7 linked regions of the Zea mays genome follow. The protein of the gene in region 4 binds, or shares a complex with, the protein of the main gene of each other region. Links are inferred from orthologs where the notes say so. Each region holds a gene or a part of one and is shown on either strand. Other genes may lie near its edges. The genes, in order: Photosynthetic NDH subunit of subcomplex B 5, chloroplastic-like; Photosynthetic NDH subunit of lumenal location 4, chloroplastic; photosynthetic NDH subunit of lumenal location 1, chloroplastic; NAD(P)H-quinone oxidoreductase subunit O, chloroplastic; NAD(P)H-quinone oxidoreductase subunit M, chloroplastic; NAD(P)H-quinone oxidoreductase subunit N, chloroplastic; ndhJ.

Region 1 (3,402 bases), on a different chromosome or scaffold from region 4:
GACTCTAGGCAGTCAGCTCTTCAGAACATCCAGGTGAAACAAACATCAGTGGGATGTGTAGTCTAGAAGAAAAGCTAGTTCTCTCCTCCTCAGGGCAGTAGACCAGCCTTGTTCTCTTTCGGAATTCGGGAAAAAAAAGAAGAGCCCGTCTTCATAGCGAGCCAGCTGCATCCCAAGTGTAAAAAAAAAAGAGAGGAAACAGCTGCGAGGCTTACCCTTTTTTTCTCCCCAGTTTTGTTACCCTGATGGTTCCTTCCTAATTCTCCCTTTTCTGCACATGTTTTTAGGGGAATTAATGACATTTTCCTTTTGTTGAATAATAATAAGAATGGGTGGGTGGTGGCAAACCAGCGGCTCTTGATTGTTCAGCGCATCAGTCTTGCATGTGTTTTTTTTTCTCTTCCCTTCAAAGTATTGGAGAAAACATGAAAACAAAGGCAATTCATGCAGAAAGTTGAAGCAACAGTCTGCAGAACATGTCGTGTATTATATGGCACGAGGATAGAACAGATTTTCAGGCTCTCCAGTCTTACAGGAAGGATGGCTTTCCTTTTTATTCAAGAGATTTTCCTAGCAGCTACAGCTTCCTTTCACAGGGTTTTTTTTGCTGTGAGGCAACAATCTGAAGGGCAGCGAGCGGTGTACGCAATGCATCTAGGTCGACTTGACGATGTCGTCCCTGGTGTTGACGGTGAAGTCCCAGAGCTCGCCGTACTTCTCGTTGAAGTCCCAGATGTCCATGGAGTTGTAGTCGGCGATGAGCTTGTCGCGGGCCGACCTCTCCATCATGTAGATCTCCGGCTCGAAGTTGTGCGGCTTGTCGGGCTTGCCCATCTCGATGACGCAGAACACCACGATGAAGACGGCCGCCCCGATGTACAGGTACTCCCCCTGGCGACACAAGCAGACGCGTCTCCGATCCGATCAGTAGATGCAGGTGACGAGTTTTTTTTTTTTTTTTTTTTGGGGCACAAATGCTTGGAGCGCAGGAATTTCACAGGAAACAATTCACTTTCCCGACAGAAAGCACAATTCACTTCCGACCAGGAAACTTCGTGTTCCAAACAGGGGACTAGGTACTGGGAGGAGGAAGTGCTGGATCCTTACCGGCACATTGAAAGCCATGCCGAGGATGATCGCAGGAGGAAATGCCCAGGAGATGAGTGCTGCAAGAGATCGCCGCCATTGATGCAGTGCAACAAATGAGCAAGGCAGAAGCATAAAGATCTGAAAGAGCTACACAGTAGTGGTAGTACCTTGAAAGCCCTGAGGAGGCTCAGCTTCTTGGTACCACTCGGAGACATCCTCCCAGAAGCCCTTCTTGTCTTGGGAAGAAAAGCGGGGGGTGTTGCGGTTGTTTGCAGGTTTTTGTTTCACCACAGCACAAAACAATCAGTGGACTATTATTTCTTTTTCTTTTTGCAATGAAGGATATCATATCATGAACAATGGAGTTCTTATTTTTTTCTGGGAGGATAGTAATACCTTGGCCTTCGAAATAGGTGTGGTGTCCGTCATACTTCCCGTACTCGAAGTCCTCCTGCAAGACAAGACAAGACAAGACAGATCCTCTCCAGTGTCATCCACGAACGAACGAACGAAACGTACTCCGTTCTTCAGAGCTCTCGTTCATAGCACAACCTACGTCAAGGTTCACTGCTTTCCTGCGTGTTCCTAGTCTAACTAACTAAGCGCGGAACGACAACCGAGAAGAGAAGAGAAGAAAAGGAAGGAAACGAGGGACGACGACGACGGACCGGGCTGATGCCGTTGGTGCGGTACACGTCGATGGCGTCCTCCTCCAGGTCCGGCTCGATCTCCGACAGCGGCCCAGGCCCGGCCCTCACCACCACCGCGCCGCCGCCCGGCCTCCTCCCGACACTCGAACGCCGGCGGCCGGCGTGCAGCAGCTGTGGCCGCGCCGCCGCCTTCACCCTCAGCTGCTGCGGCGCTGCGTCATGGCGGCGCCGAGCGGTGCTGGGCGCTGCAGATGGCGAGGCAGAGATGCCGGAGGACAGGCTGCTCATTATCTCGCCGCGGTGCTGCGATCGCTGCTGAGTGGTGACTGGTGAGTGCTCCAGCCCCCGCTGCTGGCTGCTGCTGCACTTCACGTTGCGGCCAAGAGACAAAAAAGCAAGCGGATAATGGTGCGCTGGAGTTGGACACCTACCGTCCAGGATTTTTCCGCTGTCTTTTCCTGTCCCTTTTTTCGTTTCTGGAAATAATCAGCTCATAAAAACTCGGTACGATTCTGTGGAACTGAACACCTACGGACGTCCCACAGTAACCCCTCCCCCCGCCAAAAAAAATCGTGATTCTGTGCGCTATATTTGTAAGAAACTGTCGCATGTGCTTTGGTCAACGGACACCAACAAAACAAGTGAGAACTCACTCTTTGTAGGATTATCTGTAACCCTGTCCTTTAAATTTTTCCATGTATATGGAGTGGTTCTTTCTAAATTCTCTCATACACTACACAACGATTTTTTTATAGCGACCTATGGTTGGTTGCTAGAACGTCTTCATCAACCTAGGGTTTAGGGTTTAGATATACACAGTTAATTAGTAGTACAATGGTGCTATGTTTACAAATAAATATACAGTACTAATTTGCATGTAAAGCTCTAACTGAATTCTTACCAAGCATCAATGGACACTAGAACATTTGGCGGCCTTGGGGTGCCCTCGAGATTGCGATGTCACAAGAAGACCCGCACATGACATTGTTACAGATCAGATCCTTAAGCCTAGTAATCAACAAACCAGTTTCTTAAATTAGTATTATACAAAAAAAATGCAATTGCTCCCAGTTCTTTTGGTATCAAGACAACATAGTCCCCCATCTTCATAGTAAGAGAAAAAAAGGCTAGCATCACTGCATCAATAAACTGCCCATGCATTTTTTTTTACTGTAATCGAACGATGAGTAAAGCTCTGACATCACCAGTACTCTACTCGTGAACGCCTCGAAGCCCTGCCTCTGTCCTTACCAGTTGGCGGAGAGTCAATGTGACTCAACTTCAGTCTGGAAGGTGAAAATAAAGCAACAAGACACAAATAAAATGAAATCACGTTGCTGCACTGAAAATACAGAGATGATTTCGTGCATAATCTCTCATACCGAACGTAGCAGAGCTGTCGTGGTACTCAACGGGTGGAGTAGCAGAGCTGTCGTGCTGTGGCATGCTGTTGGCGAAGACGAGAAGAACCAGACAACAACTCTGTGCGGATGGATAGCGGATGAACAACAACACTCCACATTTACCGGTCGTCGAGCTGCCGCTATATTTTAGCGGACCATTTGCCGGTTCTTGCTGGAGCGATAGCGGACACCGAGAAACGCTAAATATAGCATACCGAACGCTTTAGCGCCCCTTGTTGGAGACAGCCTAACACTACCAA
Region 2 (3,463 bases), on a different chromosome or scaffold from region 4:
AGGCCCGAGGAAACAGCTCTCGGCGCTCCCAGGAACCACCAATGACATAGAGCCAAAGAGGTGAGGTCAAATTGCACTGGAACTTTTTTTAGTACCTATAACCCAAGCCCAACCATCCCAGTGATGTGACAGTGATACTCTCTCACAAGCAAAATAGTTTCCCGATCCCGATGTGGCGCTCCAACGGCTAATGCGGCTTGGTCCTATCTTACGCTTTCGCTTCTGCAAATCTACGTCTTCACAACCCATGGAAATGGTGCCAGTGGTTTAGCTTCGCCTTTGTTGCTTCAGCAGCCTCCCCAATTCAGGCAGACAGCAGAGGCGGGCACCGTCTGAACCGGTCGATGAGAATTTTTGCTCCAAGCTACTACGGGCACACATGTGTCAGGCACGAGCGCGAGACCTCTCTGCACATCCGAATCGTGAGTGTTTAGTCGGCATGATTGATCGAATGCTGAAGGGTTTGACGCCATTCGCCAGTCACGCTGACAGTCTGACTGACACAAACAAATTCACGATTCCGTATCGGCTGTGCAAGCAAAGCTGGTGGCGCATGTGACATACACCTCCGATAACTTGCTCGCTTTGGCTGTATCAAACTGCTATATAGTCAACAATATGATTGGTCTTTACAAAGTTCCACAATGGCGTTATTACGTAACAAGGATGGTTTATATATATCATCATTTTATTCAATCCAGGTAGCTCTCTGGAGTACAGAAGCTTCTGCAAGTGGCTCTGCCTCTGCAGGTGCTTTCACCGCCAAGAATTCCTCCTGAAACCCTCCATGTGTGACACACGAAAACGATCGGTTACTCTGGAAAGAAGGACGTGAGTCACAGAAAACCAGGCGAGTTCAGAATAACGCTGTGCACGGCACACATATCAGACAGACCTTGTCTCTGCTCTTAGGTTCTGAACATTCCCTGTCATCGAGGGCTCACTTGTAGATCCCGACGAGGAAAAGGTCATATAGAAGTGTGGAGTTTCCGGGGATGTTGCAGTCTCCTGTCAAAAAAAGAAAAACAAAAGAAAAAACTAGAGAAGCAGTCTCCTTGACAATTCTAGAGCGAGAGCAGTTTGCTTATCTATGGTGTACGAAGTCATTTAGCGCAGTTCTGAAAATCGACCTGAGAAGCAGCCTGCCGGTTCAGGCCCGTACGCCAGTGACGCAGGTATCATCAGCTTGCGCTTTCCACCTGAGGCAGGTTTGCAACGGAGTCATCAGTCATGGAACAGCAAGCCAAATTAGCAAAGCCTCTATATTTAATGCACAGCTAAAAACTGCTCAAGTTCCTGTCCGTACCAACAAGCATGGGCGGCACACCGCCGCCGCCACTGATCCCCTGTTCAAGCCCTCGGAGGATCTGCACGCGGAGAACGCGAAAGAAACAGACCATCATTTTTTACTGGCATGAAAACTGAACGTCGTTTTCAGTGAGCGACAATGGATGCTTATACATGCACACCTTGCCTGCGCCTATGCGCATCGTCAGTGGCCTCCCGCGCTTGTAGCTGCTGTCGAACAGCGTACCGTCGGGAAATCTCGCGGTGTAGTGCACCTGATGACCATCGAGAGGACGAATATAATTAGGATCCGAAGCAAGCAGCACACAGAACGCAGAACAGGATGGCGGCATATGTTGCTGAGTTACTCGTGCAGAAGGGAAATGGACCACTGTACTATTACAGAGTAGGTTAAGTCAGAGGAAGGCGCAAGGCATGCAGGAAAGAAGAGACGGTGGTCTCGGTACTGACATTGATGAGCTCGCCGCGCGGGGGCTGGACGCCGGTGCCGACCTCGACGTCGCAGTACGCGAGGCCGGACTTGACGAGGCTCAGGTCGCACATCTTGTCCCCGACCGTCGCGTAGTACTCGATGCGCGTGGCGCCGGCGTCGCCCGCCGGGGACAGCAGCGCGGCCGAGGCCAGGAACCCGGCGCCCAGCGCCAGCAGCCCCCTCCTGCCCGCCGACGCCGACGCCGCCACCGGATGAGGAGTCGAGGAAGTGGACGGCGACGAGGACGACGCGGAGCCGCAGGGCGCGACGGAGAGCGCTCTGCCGCTGGTCTTCGGGAGCGGCGGCGGCGGCGTCGGGATTGGGCTGGACGCCATCAGAGACGACAGGGACGTGATGGGTGGCGCCATGGCTGCTTGTGGAGTGTGGATTATTATCCCCAGACTGTGGCTGCAAGGCGCGCAGGCTCGGGTCTTTATAATGACGCCCCGAAATTCGTCGCGCGGAGGCAGCATGGGCTCTGGATGTTTCAGCCGGCCACTGCAGCAGCAGGCCCGTGGTTTTACCGGGCCGAGCCGCAAGTTTCGGGACAGTCTACAGCCCACGTAGTTTTCTTATTTTAATCATTTTCTAAATCAATTTCTAAAAATTAACATCAGAGTAATTTTGTTTCTAAAACCAACCCGTATGACCGTGTAAATCTCCCTGCCGCGGACAAATACGCTGATATGCGACCCCGTTTGACGTGGCAGGTCGTGATCGATGACATGGCAAGTGTTGTCTGTTTTGATTGGATACATTTCAATGCACTTCAACCCCCTCTTCCAAGAGTATCTAAACTAGGCCTAAAATGCTTGATGGTCAAAGGTTTTCTCTCAATAAAACGGGATTAGTTTACACCATAAGAATATCGAGGTGACCTTTATAAGTCGCAAAACTACTTTTGTGAAGGATAATGATGGGTTCCGGTCAAAATGCAAGCAAGTTATGTACTAATGCAAGCAAGTTATGTACTTATAGCAGTACTGCAAGAACAAGAATAAAGGTACACCTTCTATTAAATTTGATTCTTATTATTTACTTGCAAAGTATACTATGGTATAAAGACAAAATTTATTAGAATATCTCTAATAGCTTATCCATCTTCATCTCCGTATTCAAATTTCACTCCACAGATAGTGCAATCTACTGTGCATAACAGTGTTTTGGATAACCATGTGAGTAACTGCTAGACACGATCTTAGTGCATCTATTATTGTTCCAAAGAGGAAGATAATATGGATTGCCAAAAGTCTAGTAACTATTTAGAAGAACAAACAAGTTTGGGTATTAAAAAACTTTTTTTAGATAAATTATAAGGCTCAAGAAAGATATTTAGGATTTGACAGTGGATACACACACTCGTCACCATCCTATAATTTACGTCGCTAGCTGCGGCCACCAGCATCTTTTTTTTTTCCTCACGTTTTGATGATATAACGACACAACGCAATACAAAAAGTGAACCACTTTGCCTAATGCCAACCAAAAGTACAATATAGGACCTGGTTAAGATAACAGCTGATGGGAAAAATCTACACCAATTTTTTTGGGGGTGCAGCTTTCAGCTGTCAGGTGCAATCATCTTTTAATCTCGGCACCGTAGAAGTGAAAATTTCGGAGTACCTTCTCTCCCATGTTTTTTTTCAACTGCATGTATAGTAGTCGGCTGCCTAGTCGCCTGTT
Region 3 (3,895 bases), on a different chromosome or scaffold from region 4:
ATCTGACACCTGGACAGAAGCAACGGATTGCCATCGCTAGGGTGGTTTTGAAGAACGCACCTATATTGCTGTTGGACGAGGCCAGCTCTGCGATCGAGTCTGAATCGAGTAGAGTGGTGCAAGAAGCTCTAGACACTCTGGTCATGGGTAACAAGACAACGATTCTCATTGCGCACAGGGCGGCAATGATGAAGCATGTTGATAACATCGTCGTCTTGAATGGCGGTAGGATAGTTGAGCAGGGCACACATGACTCTCTGATGGACCAGAACGGTCTATATGTTAGATTGATGCAACCCCATTTTGGCAAGGGCCTTCGCCAGCATCGGCTAATGTAATTATTCTTTTGAGTTTGTTTAGGTGTAAATTATCCTAGGGGATGATCAGGTTTCCTTGTGCGGCCACTCAGTCAGGGGCCCTTTTCGGCACATGAAAAATGCTGGGAGTTGCCGCCCTGTTGCTGTTCCGAGTAAGCCGACCTGGTCTTCTTGACAAAAAAATAAAAAAAATAGCTTGCAGATCCAAGTAATTCTGGAAATAGTTAGCAAGTTTGGAGGGCATTGTAATTGTTGTAATATATGAGCTGAAACATTCTTTCAGAGGCTCGTGCTTGTGGTGTCTCTCGCCTCTGTAATATTAGTGTTGCACCGACATGTTCACGGAGCGTGTAATTTTGGGAGCCACGAACCGACAGCAATGCAACCACATTCCCCCCCCCCCCCCCCCCCCCCCCCCCCCCATCTTTCGCTAAACAAGTTGCCGCACCATGCTCATGAGGCCGTCACAGAAGCAAGCGATCACGCCGTCAGGTCCGAGATCTTGAAGGAGTCCGCGACGACTTTGAGCCTGTTCCGCAGCCTGCTCCACCGGCGCTCGTTCGCGGTCACGATCAGCGTGTAGTACCGACCTAGTTAGAGCAAAAAACAAACAAACAAACAGAGTTTCATCTCTCTCTATTTCAACGCGAAGCGAAACACATGAACGTTTCCCGTTCATAGGTATCATACCGTTTCCAATGGCGACCGTCGCAAACGCAGAAACGCCGTAGCCCGGAGCCTCCAGATCGTACTCAAACGTCCAGTAGTTCTTGCCGTCCACGGTGCGCTGCAAAAATAGTAGGATAGGCCGCTTATTTCACTAGCACCATTTTTTTTATTTTTTTGCTCAGAGTTATCCAACTAGATTTGGCAACTCCAAACAAATGATAATTGCATGCATAAAGCGATGAACAGATGACAGACCTCTTGCATGTCGTAGATCGACGGTATTTGGTTCGGGGCAGCGTAGACGTTGTTTACCAGGTTGAAGATGGCCTGGTGTAATGTGGAAAAAAAAACATATTCATCACATCAGCAAAAGTGATTATCAGAGCTAAAACGTATATAATTTAAACGGAGGAGAGAGTATGTGTTTTATCTTTTGTGCCTAATCAAAGTGAAGAACACATAGTTTTTCCATAAAAAAGAAGAAGAATACATAGTCGAAAGAAGGAAACAAAACCCCCACCTCATCCATCGGTCCTAGGTCGCGGATGTCTGTTTTCTCGGTAGGAATGAACCCCACACGAACACACTGAAGGGCCAGGTTGCGGTCTTTGAACGCAGAATCATGACCCAAGAAGTCGAAATCCTATCCAGGGACAAGGGAACGAAGGCACCATGAAAATCACCCTACAGTTCTTAACTGTTCAAGAATCGATCGCATGGCGCCAACCTACCCTCCATTCAGCTGGATAAAGGTACGAGTACCCGTCTTTCGCGTCCACGTACGACTTGTAATTCTTCGGCACCTCTGAACAGCTCCGATCAGTGTCAAACAGGTAAGAAACGCAAAAAAAACGCTGCTCGAGGACACCGTCCTAGTCCGATCCTGATAGATACAATGCCAGGCCATCTATATAGGGATGATCGTTACCTTCAGCGAACGCAGCAGAGCTTGTCCTCAGTAGGCCAGTGGCTAACGCTCCAGCACCAAGCAAAGCTAGCCGTCTCTTCGTGACCTCTATACAAGCGGAGAGATGTTATGAACCAGGATTCTGTCGACCACTAGATGCATGAACGGAAAAAAAACAACAACAACAACAAAAGGGGGGGTTACTGGTGTCGTCCAAAGATCCTTGGATCGAGCTCGCCGCCACAGCTGAGGGAGGAGCCCTGTTCAGTTTGGTAGTCGCCGCGCAATTTGGCACAGCCAGCTGGAAACAAGCAACGGGTTCAAGCTGTTATTACTCCTCAGAACTGCAGGGAAAGTAAATGAATTCCAGAAAAAAACAGTGAGGAAGGGGCTTGAGCACGTACTTGTTTGGATACGGAGCAGACCAGGTTCTGCAGGCTCGCCATTTCGGCTTCAGTTGTTCAGGGTAGCGCTGAGCTCGAGGGAGAGTTCTGTGAAGCTTGTTACCCCCATCGTCAGTTATCCATAGCTGCTGGACACGCTCGAGCTCACTTTTCCACTATCGAGTGGGTGGTGGAACCGTGGAAGGGCTCGCTTTTCCCCTATCGAGTGTGTGGGTGGAAGCCAAGGCAGCCAAGTCAGCATGCTCATTATCCTCTCATTTCAGCACTCTTGCTTCTTTGTCTTGGACAGAGCACTGGCTGACAAAAATGGGCGTCCCTCTCAACAGGCAAACAGCCCTTCTGGTGGGTAGGTCGTTGATGACCCAAGACGAACTGTTCTGAATACAGTGATTTTTATGCCAAAAAAACAAAATTTCCAGGTTACATAATTTCATGACACCATGATAAGCGATATACAACAACGGCCACAATTATTCAATGCTAGTAAGCCTGTTGCATAATGCAGCTAGGTTTATTTGTTTTTTTCCTTAGTTGATTTATTAGTTTTTTCTTAGCTAATTGATAGTTGATCAATTAGTTCCCTTTTTTAACTAATTGATAGTTGTTTGTTAGTTTCCTTTCTTAACTAATTGGTTGATTTTTCCTTAGTTAATTGATAGTTAATTAAATAGTTTCAATAGTGTTTGAATGAGAGTCACGTACGAACGAGGTAAACACCAGAGTAGTTTTTGGTGGCGGCGTGATGCTAAAAAATCGAGGGGCGCCTCATCCCATGTTGACCTTAAACCAAACACAGTAAAAGACACTAGGCGCCATTCAAATCCACAACACATCAATAATCTTATAAGTTTTACCGAGCAAGCACTAACATGGCACCGGCCTAGGATTTAGGCAGCATGGCCATGGCCCGTGGCAGGACGTGCTGCAGCTTGAGCTGATGATTTATTACTTCCTTTCACTGCAAGGCCTTTTGCTCGCCAAACTATGACCATAAGTGCCGGAGCCGGAGCCGGAGCTTCTCCCCTGGCTTGAGTCTGCGGTGGCCGGAACCGGAACGACATCCTGCGGCGATTCTGCGACGTCCACCAAGAACATGTCAGGGTCGAAATGCTCCTGGCTCGAGCTCGAGGAAGCGAAGCCAAGCAGCGACGGCTGAACGGCGCAGGTGTCCAGAGACGAGTCGATGCTCCTGTGGCCGAAGCCGCTGGACGACGCAACGCAGTAGTAGCCAGTTCCCGCACGGGCACGCTGCCCCCGCGGCCCGAACGCGGCAGGAGCGAGTGCCTGGGCCTGGGCCTGGGCCTGGGCCTGGATGTGCTCGTAGCCGGTGGCGGCGAACGCGTCAGGCCGCGCGACTCTGGAGCACGATGCTCCGGGAACCGCCGCCTTCATCCGGGCGTTCCTTGCCTGGAGGTCCGCGAGCAGCATCCTCGCCTGGTTCCTGGCCTCGTCCCTTTCTTGCATCCTCCTCCGTGCGAGCGTGGCCAGATGCCAGATTGCATCGTCAGCCTCCGCAGACAAAGCGAGGATCTTTTGCCGCTCCAGTCTGGCCCAGCCAAGTTGCTCCTCCAGAACTCTGCGCTCCTGCCAGCAGAACG
Region 4 (2,941 bases):
ATATGATCAAATCTTGAACCATCCAACTCCCTATTTTTTTCGAACAAAGTCGTTTCTTGGCATCGAGCCATTCTAAACACTAACTTAGACTGTCTTCAGTGGATCCCCTAAAATAGAGGACATGATACTGTAAATAACAATATTTATCATTGTTTATAGAGTAAAGTCTGAAATAAGGGATGTGATATGAGATGAGATAGGGGAGTTGGTTGACACGGTCTTAGAGATTATCTAAAGATGGCTCAACCTTGTTTCCCTCCCTGACTAATTGTACATTGTTTATTTCAGCAGTGGCTAGCTGCGGAGTGTAGACAGAGGCGTGTGCGTGATGATACACTTTGACCCATAATATAAATGCTGGAAAGGTATATTATAAACCTTTGTTTGTGGCTGCTTCATAATCGGTACACTATCATTTTTTTATTTTGTCGTTTTTTATTCGAAAATAAACTATCGACGAGACAAATATTCAAGAACGGAGACAATATATTATTAGTATTAATTATGAAATGTGAGTTTAAATAACATAAAGAAGTGATGTGCAGCAGCAATTATGAATCTCGTCATCGTACGTCGCTCTCGATCTACTTCCTGATTATTCCAGCAGCTGAGGTCTCAGATTGCCTCTGTCGACTGTTCTGGCAATACTGGCATGTACGTATATACCTACAACAAGTCAACAACAAGAGGTGTGTCCTGCTTGGCCGACTCCTGATGCGAAATGAAGCATGAATTCGGCGGCGGCGCTACGGTGCCCTGCGAGGCCGCCGGCCGGCCATCATATCCTCTCGTAGTCGAGCTTGTCCGACTGCAATGCAACAAATCACATGCCACAGAGACAGAGAGCGAGAGCGAGGTGAGACGAGTGGTGCATGACGTACAGATTGATCCAACTGGGGATGAATCAGCTACCTTGATGAGCATGTAGGTTGGTAGCCATGCCGGTGGCGTCGGGATCCCCACCCAAGCGATCTGAAATGCATGCACGCGCGCGTTGGTCTGAAACTCTGAACATGTATGGTGGAGGCAGAAAGCATGACGAAACTCTGAACACAGCATGCGCGGATGGAAGTAGTTTTCATTACCAGGGCGTATTCTCCTGTTTCGAAGTTCCTGATATCCAAGACCTCGCCGCGGTCTTGGTATATGTAGTCCAGCCCCTTGTAGAAGGGCGGGTGTCCCACTGACAGATAATTGATGCTGTTCAGGTACTTCTCCTTGTCCACGCGCACAATCTGCCCTTTCTTCACTGCAAAGCTCAGCCAGTTTCATCATGCATGCATGGCCGCGCGCGCGAGAGCTAGAGGGAGAAGTAGGGGGGGGTGGGGGGGGGGGGGGGGGGGGTCTTGTCGTCGTCTTACTCGAGTAGACGGGCTTCTTCTTGAGGATCTTCTTGGGAGCGGCCGCCGGCGGCGGCGGCGGCGTCGTCTCCTCCCCGGCCGCCGCGGAGGCCCTGCAGATGTGAGGAGCGGCGGAGCGGCGCCGGGCTGGGCCGGCCGGCGTCGCCACTGGGCACGCGCGCGGGAAGAGCGCCCGAGGCGCCGAGGCGAGGGCTTCCATGGTGCGGCGGGCGAAGGGATGGATTGCTCGCTCAGCTAGTCAGCTACTCAGCCAAATCCGGACGCGCGGTGTGCCAGTGCCACAGGACCCGGATAAGGCGATCGATACACGGCTGCCTTTTTGCTATTGGTTGGCCATTTGCTTCCCATTGCAAGCGCAAGAGAGAGAGAGGGGGGGGGGGGAATCATCATCTACTTTGGCTGCTGTCATGACCTGCCACCACCAAGAAGTGGAGATTCCCATTCAGAAAAAGAAGACGACGATGGGAAATGGGTGGATCCAAGAGCCAGGCAGGCGCCCCCCCAGTGCGCAGCGCACGCAGGTGGATCTTCCTTGTCCGGTCCCACCAGCGCCATCAACACAGGTTTGACTTCCATCCTTACACACCTTCCAAAACCCCTCTGACGTGTGGGTCCACCGAGTTATCAAAGTGGCGATGGGGCCCGCGGCCGGGCGACGAACCGGCGTGCGCGGGCAGGCAGGCAGGCAGGCGGTTGGCCTGGATTCAAAAGGGACTCTACTTTTGGCCCATTTCCAACCACCATCTGCCTAGGCGTCTGTCTGTCTGTCTGACGCCGCGCCCACCACCGTCCCGCAAAAGGCGCGCCGCGCCGCGCCGCGCCGTCCCGTCCGTCTTCGTCCCCAGTCCCCACCAACCTGTCCGGATGGGCCACTCGGCGTCGCGGCCCACTGCCTGCGCCGGCGCCGGCGAGGCGCTGCCCTCGCGCTTCGCGCGGTTCCGCCGCCGCCTGCGCAACCGCCTGCGCCGCGGCGCCGGCGACGACTCGGTCTCCTCCAAGGCCCTCGCCGCCGACGAGTTCGCCGGCATCGCACGCGTCCGGATAGCCAAGGTACGTGGGCCGCGCGCTGCGAACTCCGCTGCTACGCGCATGTTCCTTAGCACCGAGTCTCGCTCCCCGCTTCGACGCGGCCAGCCGAGGCGGAATCCGTGGGTTTCGATTCGTATCGCATCACTGTCTCTGCCTCTCTGACTCTGACTTTGACTCGCCATGGTTGATCCTCCTGTTCGGTTTCCGGGCGCAGGCGGATATGCAGTTCAAGGACAAGTTCTTCGCGTGCCTCTCTCTCGGCGACCGCACGTACCGCACCGAGACGTCCGACAAGTGCGTCGCCCTTGCTTTTATTTACTGCTCGAATACTCGTCCTATGTCTGTTCCATTTCCATTCCTCTGTGCAAGAATATCCCTGTCTCGCTCTCATGTCTGCGTGCTGTGTGTCCCTCGACTTGGTAACTCTCAAATGTCCCTCTGGCTGTGCCCTCCGATCTAGTAAATTTTAACTTCCACGCCGCACGCGGGATTGCTGATAAGTACCTCAGCCAGTTATGAGCCACCATATCGTGAATCGCCTTTGCCTGTAC
Region 5 (3,114 bases), on a different chromosome or scaffold from region 4:
CTCTTGGCCTGGACGAGAAGTGTCGTTGTTTCACCGATCAAACCTTGTTTTCCGACAAAACACGGCTGCGTTGACTCTCCGCCGCAAAACCTCTATGGATTTCCACGAGAAGGATGCGCGCAGCTATGACGCGCATGGCCCTGCTCCCGCCCTCCCCCTCGTCCGCCTGAACCACGTCTCGTTCCAGTGCGAGTCCGTGGAAGCATCGGTCGGCTTCTACCAGCGCGTGCTTGGCTTCGAGCTCGTCAAACGCCCGGCGTCCCTCGACTTCGGAGGAGCATGGTGAGCAGCCATTTCGCACTACATATATACCACTGCCTAGCTAGTGCCTGTTTCTTGTCCATCGATTTATTATTATTATTATTATTATTATTATTATTATTATTATTATTATTATTATTATTATTATTATTATTATTATTATTATTATTATTATTATTATTATTATTATTATTATTATTATTATTTTCGCCAAGGTGAGGTCAACTCGTTGCGTGCTTTCCAGGATGCACAGGTACGGCATGGGGATATATCTACTGCAGCGCGGCTCGGATTCGTCGCCCAACGCTCCGGCAGCTGCAAGACCGCCGGCGATCAACCCCAAGGGCAACCACATTTCCTTTCAGGTGACCACCAGAGCGCTCTCGCAGAATTAAGAAACTGGATAGGCAGCCAAATTTAGTCCAATCCAAGCAGAGAGGATCCTTGCTCTCGCGCAGAGTTGACCTGCTTAGTTAGTACGAGTACTTAGTAGTAGCAGTAACCAGTAAGCACCCGCTGATCGGGTGTGCTCGTTTGGCAATGGCGTGCAGTGCACGGACATGGGGCTCATGAAGACGAGGCTGGGTGACATGGAGCTGGAGTTCGTGGCGGCGCGGGTGTGAGACGGCGAGACGGTGGTGGAGCAGCTCTTCTTCCGCGACCCAGACGGCAATGTGGTCGAGGTCTGCGACTGCGAGAAGCTCCCCGTGATACCCCTCGCAGATGCAGGCAGCACCGGCCTTCTTCCAAATACGCTGCTGCTGCCGGTGGAAACGAACTTGCATGGCTAGTTCGTGGTGCTTGCTCATTGGTTGCTTAGCACGATTATTTGATTCGTGTGATTAGATTTGTGAGCTGTAACAATACTGTAATAACAGGCAGTTCTGCACGCTATTGTACATATGTTGCAAGTGTCCGTACGTAGTGTAATGTGTATGTACAGGTTCGGAGATTGCCGGGTTAGGCGTCTTCCAAGCTGAATTTACGTAGTGTTGTGCGTAATGCTTGTGCAATGGCGATGAAAGCTGGTGCTCTTCAGTACTCTGTGCGAGACTGACGACAAACCGCGTACCCCGAAATCGCAAGGCAACCGCCGCACCAGCGTTCAGAGCCCAATGAGTCTGGAAGCCTGCTTGGCCCAATGGTGCGCTGTGCAAAAGTGCAAACCGAAACCGAAGTCAGTGGCAGAAACGGCCCTTATCCACACACACAAAAAAGTACGCGACACAAGCCACGCTCTCCGCTTGTGGCTAAGCTGCTGCACGCGCGGAACGACAAAAATCCAGCACTAGCCAAAGCACAGGCGAAGAAGCAGGCGAGAGGCCACCACAAACATGGCGACCACGGCGTTTCTACCCCCGGCCAAGCTGCCGCTGCAGGGGCGTCGGTTCGCTAGCCCCAAAACGGCGGGACGTATCAGCGTCAGGGTCCCTCCGGCGCGAGCGCAGCAAGAGCAGCAGGTGAAGGAGGAGGAGGCCGAGGTGGCGAGCGTGCCGCCGCCACAGGACGCGGAGAAGCAGGCGAGGAAGGGGGACGCGCAGTCCCTGCCGCGGCAGCCTTTGGCGGAGAGCAAGAACATGAGCCGCGAGTACGGCGGGCAGTGGCTGAGCAGCACCACGCGGCACGTCCGCATCTACGCTGCGTACATCGACCCGGTGACCAACGCGTTCGACCAGACGCAGATGGACAAGCTGACGCTCATGCTCGACCCCCAGGACGAGTTCGCCTGGACCGACGAGGCCTGCCAGATGGTCTTCAACGAGTTCCAGGACCTCGTCGATCACTACGAGGTAACCTCTGTAGTTGCTCCCACTCCAACAGCTCCGATAGTAGATAAAAAAAATTTGAATTGAATCTCTTGTTGTCTGAAATTCGTACGGTCATTTCCCCCCTTTTCATCTACTTTAGAGCCACTCCTGCCAAAAAAATAAAACATACGGTCTTGGCAAAAGAAGTGATCGGTAAGAGGATAGCTGAGCTCGTTTCTGCTTTGAAACAGGGGGCTGAGCTGTCGGAGTACACACTTCGGTTGATCGGGTCAGACCTTGAGCACTACATCCGCAAACTGCTGTACGACGGGGTGATCAAGTACAACATGAGGTCCAGAGTCCTCAATTTCAGCATGGGCAAGCCTCGCATCAAGTTCAACAGCAACCAGATACCAGAAAAGATATAGAATGTACTTATCCAACGCCCTTAAAAGAATGGTTTCTCTCCATTCGATTACCGAGCAAGATGTATACTCTGCAGTCCCAGATACGATCCAGAGCATTCCAGAATTCATATTACGCAGATGCAAAGCCATACACCGATTCTGTTGGCAGAATTTTGTCACCCCTGCACAGTAATAACCACATAACGAGAGTCTGGGCAAAATAAGGGTTTGCTCGAGTTTAGATACCCCTTCTGTTTCTAGGGCACTCGAATTGGGTTACAGTACACAATACCATAGTTTCTGCTAATAGATACGTATCACCGAATACCACATGAGGTCAGAGAGTTGCACAGAGACGACCGCGCTAACTTACCAAACGACTTTCTGAACTGGATGGAGTAATGGCTAGTATGGGTAAACCCTCTACAAACATTCCATGACAACTCGGTACTTTTTAAATTCATCGCTCCATGGTCTGAATTGGTCTTCTAGCTCAATGTTCTACAGAAGCATAAAGATACAGTAAGGGCTAGTTTGGGAACCTCAATTTTCTAAGGGATTTCTATTTTTCCATGGGAAAATGAACTAATTTCCCTTGGAAAAATAGAAATCCCTTAGGAAATTGGGTTCCCAAACTAGCCCTAAATAATTAAAATTAGGGAACACCACCATGCTATGCTGCTGCTGAGTACTTCGTC
Region 6 (3,384 bases), on a different chromosome or scaffold from region 4:
TTTTGGATAGAAAATTAGAAGATAGGGGAAGAATCTGAAGAAGGCTCCTCGAAGAAACTTCTTTACCTCCCATCCACATGTGGTGTTCTAGTTTCTGATATGCGTTTTTTTTTTGGGTTAATTCATTCATCTTATGTTCGTTGCTTCTGTGTGAGGGGAAAGCACTTCCTCGCTCTACTCGTGCGGAAGCGATCCATTCTTTCGTGTCCAACTCACACGTCAAGAATATCGAAATGTGGACCCTTTTCAGCGCGCTCTTTAATTCAGCTTACCTGAGCATCAATGGTGAAGGAAGAATGCAAGCTCATTGACCAAGGTGGCAATGATGTCGCCGATCCACAACGCGATGGAGACGAGGACAGTGATCTCGTGTGCCTGCGCTCTCGTGTTCGGCTGTGCGCCTGGGTTCTGAGAATCCTAAACGCGTCGCGGCCGTGAACTATTCACATGTATGGAAATCTGTACATGGTTCGCATTCTTTCTCTTCTGACACTCGTGCCAAAAAAATGTATGTATATCTTTATTAATTGCCTCTCTCATTCAGTGCAAAGCTGCAGGAATGGCAGGGAGAGATGTCCCAGAAGCAATTGGAGAGTGTAGCAGTAGCAGTAGCCAGTCTGGTAGACAACTAGCTAGACCTGCTTGCTTGATCATTCCTCCGCGTCCGGGTCCGGCTCGAGGCCTGCGATCTGCTTCAGTGGCTTCCAAACAAAGCTTCTCCTGCACGCGTGCAACAGGGCCACACGTACGTAATCAGGCCTTAGCCACAAGTGGTCCCGTGTGGGAAATTTAGACATGGAGGGAGGTAGAAGGAAGCGCATGTACCAGTTGCCGCATTCTGCGATCACCCTGACTTTGGGGCGGATGTCCGGGAGCATGGCCAGGAACTGCAGCTCAGCCTTGGACAGAACCTGCACGTAGACCAGACGAGAGGCCCGAAGAAGAGGTTCAGGAACAGAGCACTCGTCAGTGGTGTGCCGATCGATGGAGGCGCGTGCATGTAGATGTAAGCAGGCACCTCACCTTGGCTTCGATGATCCAGACGACGAGGCCTTTGGCGTCCGGGTGCAGCAGGCTGAGCCTGTAGTCCACCTCCGGCGGGAAGTACCACCGCGCCACCGGCTGCCTGCCGAGGCTAGGCTGCAGTCACCGCACCGCCACTCCAATCGAGTCAGTTCGTCGATCGACCGCTCGGTTCCCGCACGCGACGAAAGGACACGGCACAGCCACAGCAGCAACAACAAGCAAAGAAAGAGAGAAGGGAACGTATGTCGTGCTCACGTGATGTCCGTGCTCATGTGAGCACTTTAAATCGTGAGTGTTCTTTCTTAATCCAACGATTAGTGCTTTTTATTCACTTAAGTCCTCTCACCTTAACGATGAGTGTTCCTGGCCAGCAGCATGATCGTTAGATTAAGAAGGAACACTCACGATTTAAAGTGCTCACATGAGCACGGACGTCGCGTGAGCACGAGATACGTTCCCAAGAAACTAAAGGCGTGCTACGTACCGGGCAGACGGGGTGGACCTTGGTGAGCGTGGTCTCCGGGTCGCCGAGCCCCCGCGCGGAGAGGTCGAGGAAGTAGTAGCCCTGGTAACGGAGGCGGTTCAGGTAGCGGCCCTCGTAGCCGCCCTCGTGCGGCGGGTAGATGGCCAGCGCCTTGTGCTTCTCCACGTCGTCCAGCCACTTGCCCAGGTCCGGCCGCACCAGGTCGCCGCCCACGAAGTCCCACACCGTGCTGCGCACCGACACCGACCCCCGGCCGCCCCGCGACCCGCCGCGCCGGCCGCTGAGGAGCGAAGGCGCCGGGACTGGGGACACGGACACCGCGCGCGCCGCCGCCGCCGTTGCTGCCGACCACATGGTGCTGCTGCCTGCGGCCGTGCGTGTGGGTGGGTGGGAGTGGAAGTGGGACTGTGGGAGGAGTCGCTTGATTGCTTTTGAGCCTGTGGCGGGAAGATGGCTTGCGCTGAAGCTGAAGTGGGGAGGAGGGGTCGCGGATAAGTCTCCAATCCAGGCCGTAGGTTGGTCTGTCAGCCGAACTGCCCAAGACTGAAAGAGCAGAGTACATGTGTTACCACTTACCAATCTGTATTCAGATTCTACTCAGAGATCGCACACAGTACGGATACGTGAATTTTCTTTAGATCCAAACAAAATATTAAAATGCATTAAAAGTTACATAGATCATTAATCCTGTTAAGGCCTATTTTAGAAACTTTAGTTTATTCAGACCCGCCAATTCTGAAGGTGATTTGTGTTTCCAAAGTCTAAACTGTCCCAAAAGAATGTCATCAACTGGAAACCCACGTAAATGCATTTGTTTTAGAACGGAGGGAGTAAAATTTCGGTGTGGATCACGTTGACTTCAGAAGTTATTTGAAAAATTAAAATATAAAGAACTTAAATAAATATTTAGGCATATAACGATTTGAGGACACCAGCTTAAAAAACCTTTTAAATTAAACAGTTAGTAAAGTAGGTCACGCGCTCTTTTTGCTTTTTTTAAAGAAAGATGGATGTTGTGCATCATTTGTTGGGATGGTCGTGCTTAGTCTGTCCCAGCAGGGTTCCAAAATTTTATCCACTAAGATAATATTTCTAGTCTTTCACATCACCATTTAAAAGATTCTATCATGTATATTTTTCATGCCTTCAGCAGCAGCAACCTCTAAATTTTATCATCTATATCTCATCATCTATTTTTTTCCAGCCATATTAATGAGAAAAAATTCAAACGATATTTTTTCCATTCACCAATTGTGTACTCCCTCCGGTCCTGAAAAAGATGTCGTTTTAGACAAGGTTTGAGTGAAACATATAAAACTTTGACTATAAATAATAGTTTTGAAATCTAATATATATATACATATATATATATCTTAAAAATCACTTTTACAAAAGTATAAATATATTAAGAGTTTATTTGTATTTACAAAAATATTGGTCAAAGCTATATTTTGAAGACCGTGTTTATGTTCTAAATGACTAGCTTCTGTTGCATCGGACACTGGTCACTAGAAAAACAATCCTCTTTTAGTTTGTTCCTTATCCGCCACTAGGCAAGGCTATAGAGGAAGTTCGCGGTGGTGACAACATAAGAGGAAAAAGATGGCGCGCATGACAGGACGGTCGTGGAGACCAGTGGCGAACGCAGGATAAAATTATAGGTGGAGCAACATTATAAAAGCTAAATCACTAGATTAGATCACAACTCACAAGATAAAACTAGTTTTATGATGACAATATGGAGGATAAGTAATAATACTAGAAATGTTTCATAATAACATGCATACCGAAATTTCTCTCTTAATCTGCAGTGCGGCACCAAAATCACCGACAAAAATCCAATCTACAGTTAGAAAAGATGTATATTAGATGAA
Region 7 (2,207 bases), on a different chromosome or scaffold from region 4:
TTCCACATTAATGGGAGTACATTTATGTTTCTGCTTCACGAATATGATATTTTTTGGACATTTCTAATAATAGCAAGCCTTATTCCTATTTTGGTATTTTGGATTTCAGGACTTTTAGCCCCGGTTAGTGAAGGACCAGAGAAGCTTTCTAGTTATGAATCGGGTATAGAACCCATGGGGGGGGCTTGGTTACAATTCCGAATACGCTATTACATGTTTGCGCTAGTTTTTGTTGTTTTTGATGTGGAAACAGTCTTTCTCTACCCTTGGGCAATGAGTTTCGACGTATTGGGTGTATCCGTTTTTATCGAAGCTTTCATTTTTGTGCTTATCCTAGTTGTTGGTTTAGTTTATGCATGGCGAAAAGGAGCCTTGGAATGGTCTTAACTGAATATTCAGAAAAAAAAAAAAAAGAAGGAAAAGATTCCATTGGGACAATTATGAGTTTGATTGAGTTTCCGTTACTCGACCAAACAAGTTCCAATTCCGTTATTTCAACTACACCAAACGATCTTTCAAATTGGTCAAGACTCTCAAGTTTATGGCCCCTTCTATATGGTACCAGTTGTTGTTTCATTGAATTTGCTTCATTAATAGGCTCACGATTCGACTTTGATCGTTATGGATTGGTACCCAGATCAAGTCCTAGACAAGCGGACCTAATTTTAACAGCTGGTACGGTAACAATGAAAATGGCTCCATCTTTAGTGCGATTATATGAGCAAATGCCTGAACCGAAATACGTCATTGCTATGGGAGCCTGTACTATTACAGGGGGCATGTTCAGTACAGATTCCTATAGTACTGTTCGAGGAGTTGATAAGTTAATTCCTGTGGACGTCTACCTGCCGGGTTGCCCGCCTAAACCAGAGGCTGTTATAGATGCCCTAACAAAACTTCGTAAGAAGATAGCGCGAGAAATAATTGAGGATCGAACTCTATGTCAAAGTCAAAAGAAAAATAGATCTTTTACTACCCGTCACAAACTTTATGTTCGGCGCAGTACTCACACTGGAACTTACGAACAAGAATTGCTCTATCAATCACCATCTACTTTAGATATATCTTCTGAAACTTTTTTCAAATCCAAAAGTTCAGTATCTTCCTACAAATTAGTGAATTAGGAGGGGTTCTTTTGTGCAGAAAAAGAAAGAAAAGAGCAGTACAATCTTTCAAACTTGCATTTGAAATGTGAAATATTTATACAAAGGGGGAGAGATCAAGACAATGCAGCAGGGTTGGTTATCTAATTGGCTAGTTAAACATGACGTGGTTCATAGGTCTTTGGGCTTCGATCATCGAGGAGTAGAGACTTTACAAATAAAAGCGGGGGATTGGGATTCCATTGCTGTCATTTTATATGTATATGGTTACAATTATTTACGTTCCCAATGTGCTTATGACGTAGCACCCGGTGGATCTTTAGCTAGCGTGTATCATCTTACGAGAATACAGTATGGTATAGATAACCCAGAAGAGGTATGCATAAAAGTCTTTGCCCAAAAGGATAATCCTAGAATCCCGTCCGTTTTCTGGGTTTGGAGAAGTGCCGATTTTCAAGAACGCGAATCTTATGATATGGTGGGAATTTCTTATGATAATCATCCACGTCTTAAACGTATCTTAATGCCTGAAAGTTGGATAGGCTGGCCCTTACGTAAGGACTATATAACCCCCAATTTCTATGAAATACAAGATGCTCATTGAGTGATAATAAATTCATGTTCACTTATACAACACAATTCCAGATTTTATTCAAGTCAAGGAATATTTTGACGTTCTGTTCCTAGACGAAACGAAATACTTAGAATATAATATTCTAATTAATTCCTATTATACAAAAGGTCCAGATAGACTGAACAAAAAGGGCTTCATTTCTATTTTCCAATTTGGAAAATCACATATTTGTTTCCTTCGTATGAACAGAAAAATACAATGACTCAAAGAAGTTCCTACCACGAACTTTGTACCGCGCATATTACTTAGAACAACTGGGAAAGTAGGATAAGCAAGAATAAAAAAAAATATATTCTTCGGAATAGCGGTATACAAAATTAATAAGAAATGCAAAATGAAGAAAAGGGCACCTAATCTCACCTCTTTCTATACCATAAAGAACCAGAGATTTAAACCCTTTTTTTTAAAAGAAAAAGAAGTGTGTAGAGATTTATCTACTTACTCTAGAGATTTATCTACTTACTCTAGAC

The links.
Region 1: NAD(P)H-quinone oxidoreductase subunit O, chloroplastic (region 4) and Photosynthetic NDH subunit of subcomplex B 5, chloroplastic-like share a complex: the UniProt entries of both Arabidopsis thaliana proteins name them as parts of the chloroplast NDH complex. The link is inferred for Zea mays from reciprocal best matches to the Arabidopsis thaliana genes NdhO and PnsB5.
Region 2: NAD(P)H-quinone oxidoreductase subunit O, chloroplastic (region 4) and Photosynthetic NDH subunit of lumenal location 4, chloroplastic share a complex: the UniProt entries of both Arabidopsis thaliana proteins name them as parts of the chloroplast NDH complex. The link is inferred for Zea mays from reciprocal best matches to the Arabidopsis thaliana genes NdhO and PnsL4.
Region 3: NAD(P)H-quinone oxidoreductase subunit O, chloroplastic (region 4) and photosynthetic NDH subunit of lumenal location 1, chloroplastic share a complex: the UniProt entries of both Arabidopsis thaliana proteins name them as parts of the chloroplast NDH complex. The link is inferred for Zea mays from reciprocal best matches to the Arabidopsis thaliana genes NdhO and PnsL1.
Region 5: NAD(P)H-quinone oxidoreductase subunit O, chloroplastic (region 4) and NAD(P)H-quinone oxidoreductase subunit M, chloroplastic share a complex: the UniProt entries of both Arabidopsis thaliana proteins name them as parts of the chloroplast NDH complex. The link is inferred for Zea mays from reciprocal best matches to the Arabidopsis thaliana genes NdhO and NdhM.
Region 6: NAD(P)H-quinone oxidoreductase subunit O, chloroplastic (region 4) and NAD(P)H-quinone oxidoreductase subunit N, chloroplastic share a complex: the UniProt entries of both Arabidopsis thaliana proteins name them as parts of the chloroplast NDH complex. The link is inferred for Zea mays from reciprocal best matches to the Arabidopsis thaliana genes NdhO and NdhN.
Region 7: the proteins of NAD(P)H-quinone oxidoreductase subunit O, chloroplastic (region 4) and ndhJ are in contact, whole or in part, in a cryo-EM structure (PDB 7WFG), measured with the Arabidopsis thaliana proteins. The link is inferred for Zea mays from reciprocal best matches to the Arabidopsis thaliana genes NdhO and ndhJ. Residues at the interface, in NP_565093.1 of Arabidopsis thaliana: Ser91, Ile92, Leu95, Asp107, Tyr108, Ile109, Tyr127, Val130, Ile135, Pro136, Thr137, Pro139, Ala140, Trp141, Leu142; in NP_051062.1 of Arabidopsis thaliana: Ala60, Pro61, Ile138, Gly139, Arg143, Lys144, Asp145, Tyr146, Ile147, Ala148, Pro149, Asn150, Ile154, Gln155.

The regions. Positions count from the first base shown.
Region 1 is NC_050098.1:158,250,019-158,253,420, forward strand, and holds Photosynthetic NDH subunit of subcomplex B 5, chloroplastic-like, read right to left. Parts: upstream 2,071-3,402; 5' UTR 2,028-2,070; coding exon 1,758-2,027; intron 1,541-1,757; coding exon 1,486-1,540; intron 1,326-1,485; coding exon 1,257-1,325; intron 1,167-1,256; coding exon 1,108-1,166; intron 892-1,107; coding exon 655-891; 3' UTR 501-654; downstream 1-500. Other genes in the region: putative transmembrane protein kinase family protein, read left to right, coding at 1-37. UniProt on the Arabidopsis thaliana protein: NDH shuttles electrons from NAD(P)H:plastoquinone, via FMN and iron-sulfur (Fe-S) centers, to quinones in the photosynthetic chain and possibly in a chloroplast respiratory chain.
Region 2 is NC_050100.1:216,381,265-216,384,727, reverse strand, and holds Photosynthetic NDH subunit of lumenal location 4, chloroplastic, read right to left. Parts: upstream 2,168-3,463; 5' UTR 2,149-2,167; coding exon 1,759-2,148; intron 1,563-1,758; coding exon 1,470-1,562; intron 1,368-1,469; coding exon 1,307-1,367; intron 1,200-1,306; coding exon 1,131-1,199; intron 1,009-1,130; coding exon 941-1,008; 3' UTR 896-940; intron 818-895; exon of another isoform or gene 776-817; 3' UTR 501-775; downstream 1-500. UniProt on the Arabidopsis thaliana protein: NDH shuttles electrons from NAD(P)H:plastoquinone, via FMN and iron-sulfur (Fe-S) centers, to quinones in the photosynthetic chain and possibly in a chloroplast respiratory chain.
Region 3 is NC_050096.1:42,029,523-42,033,417, reverse strand, and holds photosynthetic NDH subunit of lumenal location 1, chloroplastic, read right to left. Parts: upstream 2,524-3,895; 5' UTR 2,340-2,523; coding exon 2,298-2,339; intron 2,219-2,297; coding exon 2,098-2,218; intron 2,002-2,097; coding exon 1,915-2,001; intron 1,792-1,914; coding exon 1,718-1,791; intron 1,630-1,717; coding exon 1,507-1,629; intron 1,314-1,506; coding exon 1,242-1,313; intron 1,105-1,241; coding exon 1,008-1,104; intron 908-1,007; coding exon 798-907; 3' UTR 501-797; downstream 1-500. Other genes in the region: ABC transporter B family member 20, read left to right, coding at 1-338. UniProt on the Arabidopsis thaliana protein: NDH shuttles electrons from NAD(P)H:plastoquinone, via FMN and iron-sulfur (Fe-S) centers, to quinones in the photosynthetic chain and possibly in a chloroplast respiratory chain.
Region 4 is NC_050103.1:163,552,443-163,555,383, forward strand, and holds NAD(P)H-quinone oxidoreductase subunit O, chloroplastic, read right to left. Parts: upstream 1,713-2,941; 5' UTR 1,561-1,712; coding exon 1,362-1,560; intron 1,250-1,361; coding exon 1,086-1,249; intron 973-1,085; coding exon 913-972; intron 809-912; coding exon 779-808; 3' UTR 501-778; downstream 1-500. Other genes in the region: Phosphatidylserine decarboxylase proenzyme 2, read left to right, coding at 2,226-2,411, 2,605-2,684. UniProt on the Arabidopsis thaliana protein: NDH shuttles electrons from NAD(P)H:plastoquinone, via FMN and iron-sulfur (Fe-S) centers, to quinones in the photosynthetic chain and possibly in a chloroplast respiratory chain.
Region 5 is NC_050097.1:23,630,826-23,633,939, reverse strand, and holds NAD(P)H-quinone oxidoreductase subunit M, chloroplastic, read left to right. Parts: upstream 1-1,427; 5' UTR 1,428-1,595; coding exon 1,596-2,051; intron 2,052-2,260; coding exon 2,261-2,437; 3' UTR 2,438-2,614; downstream 2,615-3,114. Other genes in the region: uncharacterized protein, read left to right, coding at 95-282, 506-626, 813-884; uncharacterized LOC100502247, read right to left, coding at 2,840-2,917. UniProt on the Arabidopsis thaliana protein: NDH shuttles electrons from NAD(P)H:plastoquinone, via FMN and iron-sulfur (Fe-S) centers, to quinones in the photosynthetic chain and possibly in a chloroplast respiratory chain.
Region 6 is NC_050098.1:176,087,654-176,091,037, reverse strand, and holds NAD(P)H-quinone oxidoreductase subunit N, chloroplastic, read right to left. Parts: upstream 1,932-3,384; 5' UTR 1,865-1,931; coding exon 1,511-1,864; intron 1,141-1,510; coding exon 1,024-1,140; intron 912-1,023; coding exon 826-911; intron 721-825; coding exon 651-720; 3' UTR 501-650; downstream 1-500. UniProt on the Arabidopsis thaliana protein: NDH shuttles electrons from NAD(P)H:plastoquinone, via FMN and iron-sulfur (Fe-S) centers, to quinones in the photosynthetic chain and possibly in a chloroplast respiratory chain.
Region 7 is NC_001666.2:50,035-52,241, reverse strand, and holds ndhJ (NADH dehydrogenase subunit J), read left to right. Parts: upstream 1-1,227; coding exon 1,228-1,707; downstream 1,708-2,207. Other genes in the region: ndhC (NADH dehydrogenase subunit 3), read left to right, coding at 25-387; ndhK (NADH dehydrogenase subunit K), read left to right, coding at 441-1,124. UniProt on the Arabidopsis thaliana protein: NDH shuttles electrons from NAD(P)H:plastoquinone, via FMN and iron-sulfur (Fe-S) centers, to quinones in the photosynthetic chain and possibly in a chloroplast respiratory chain.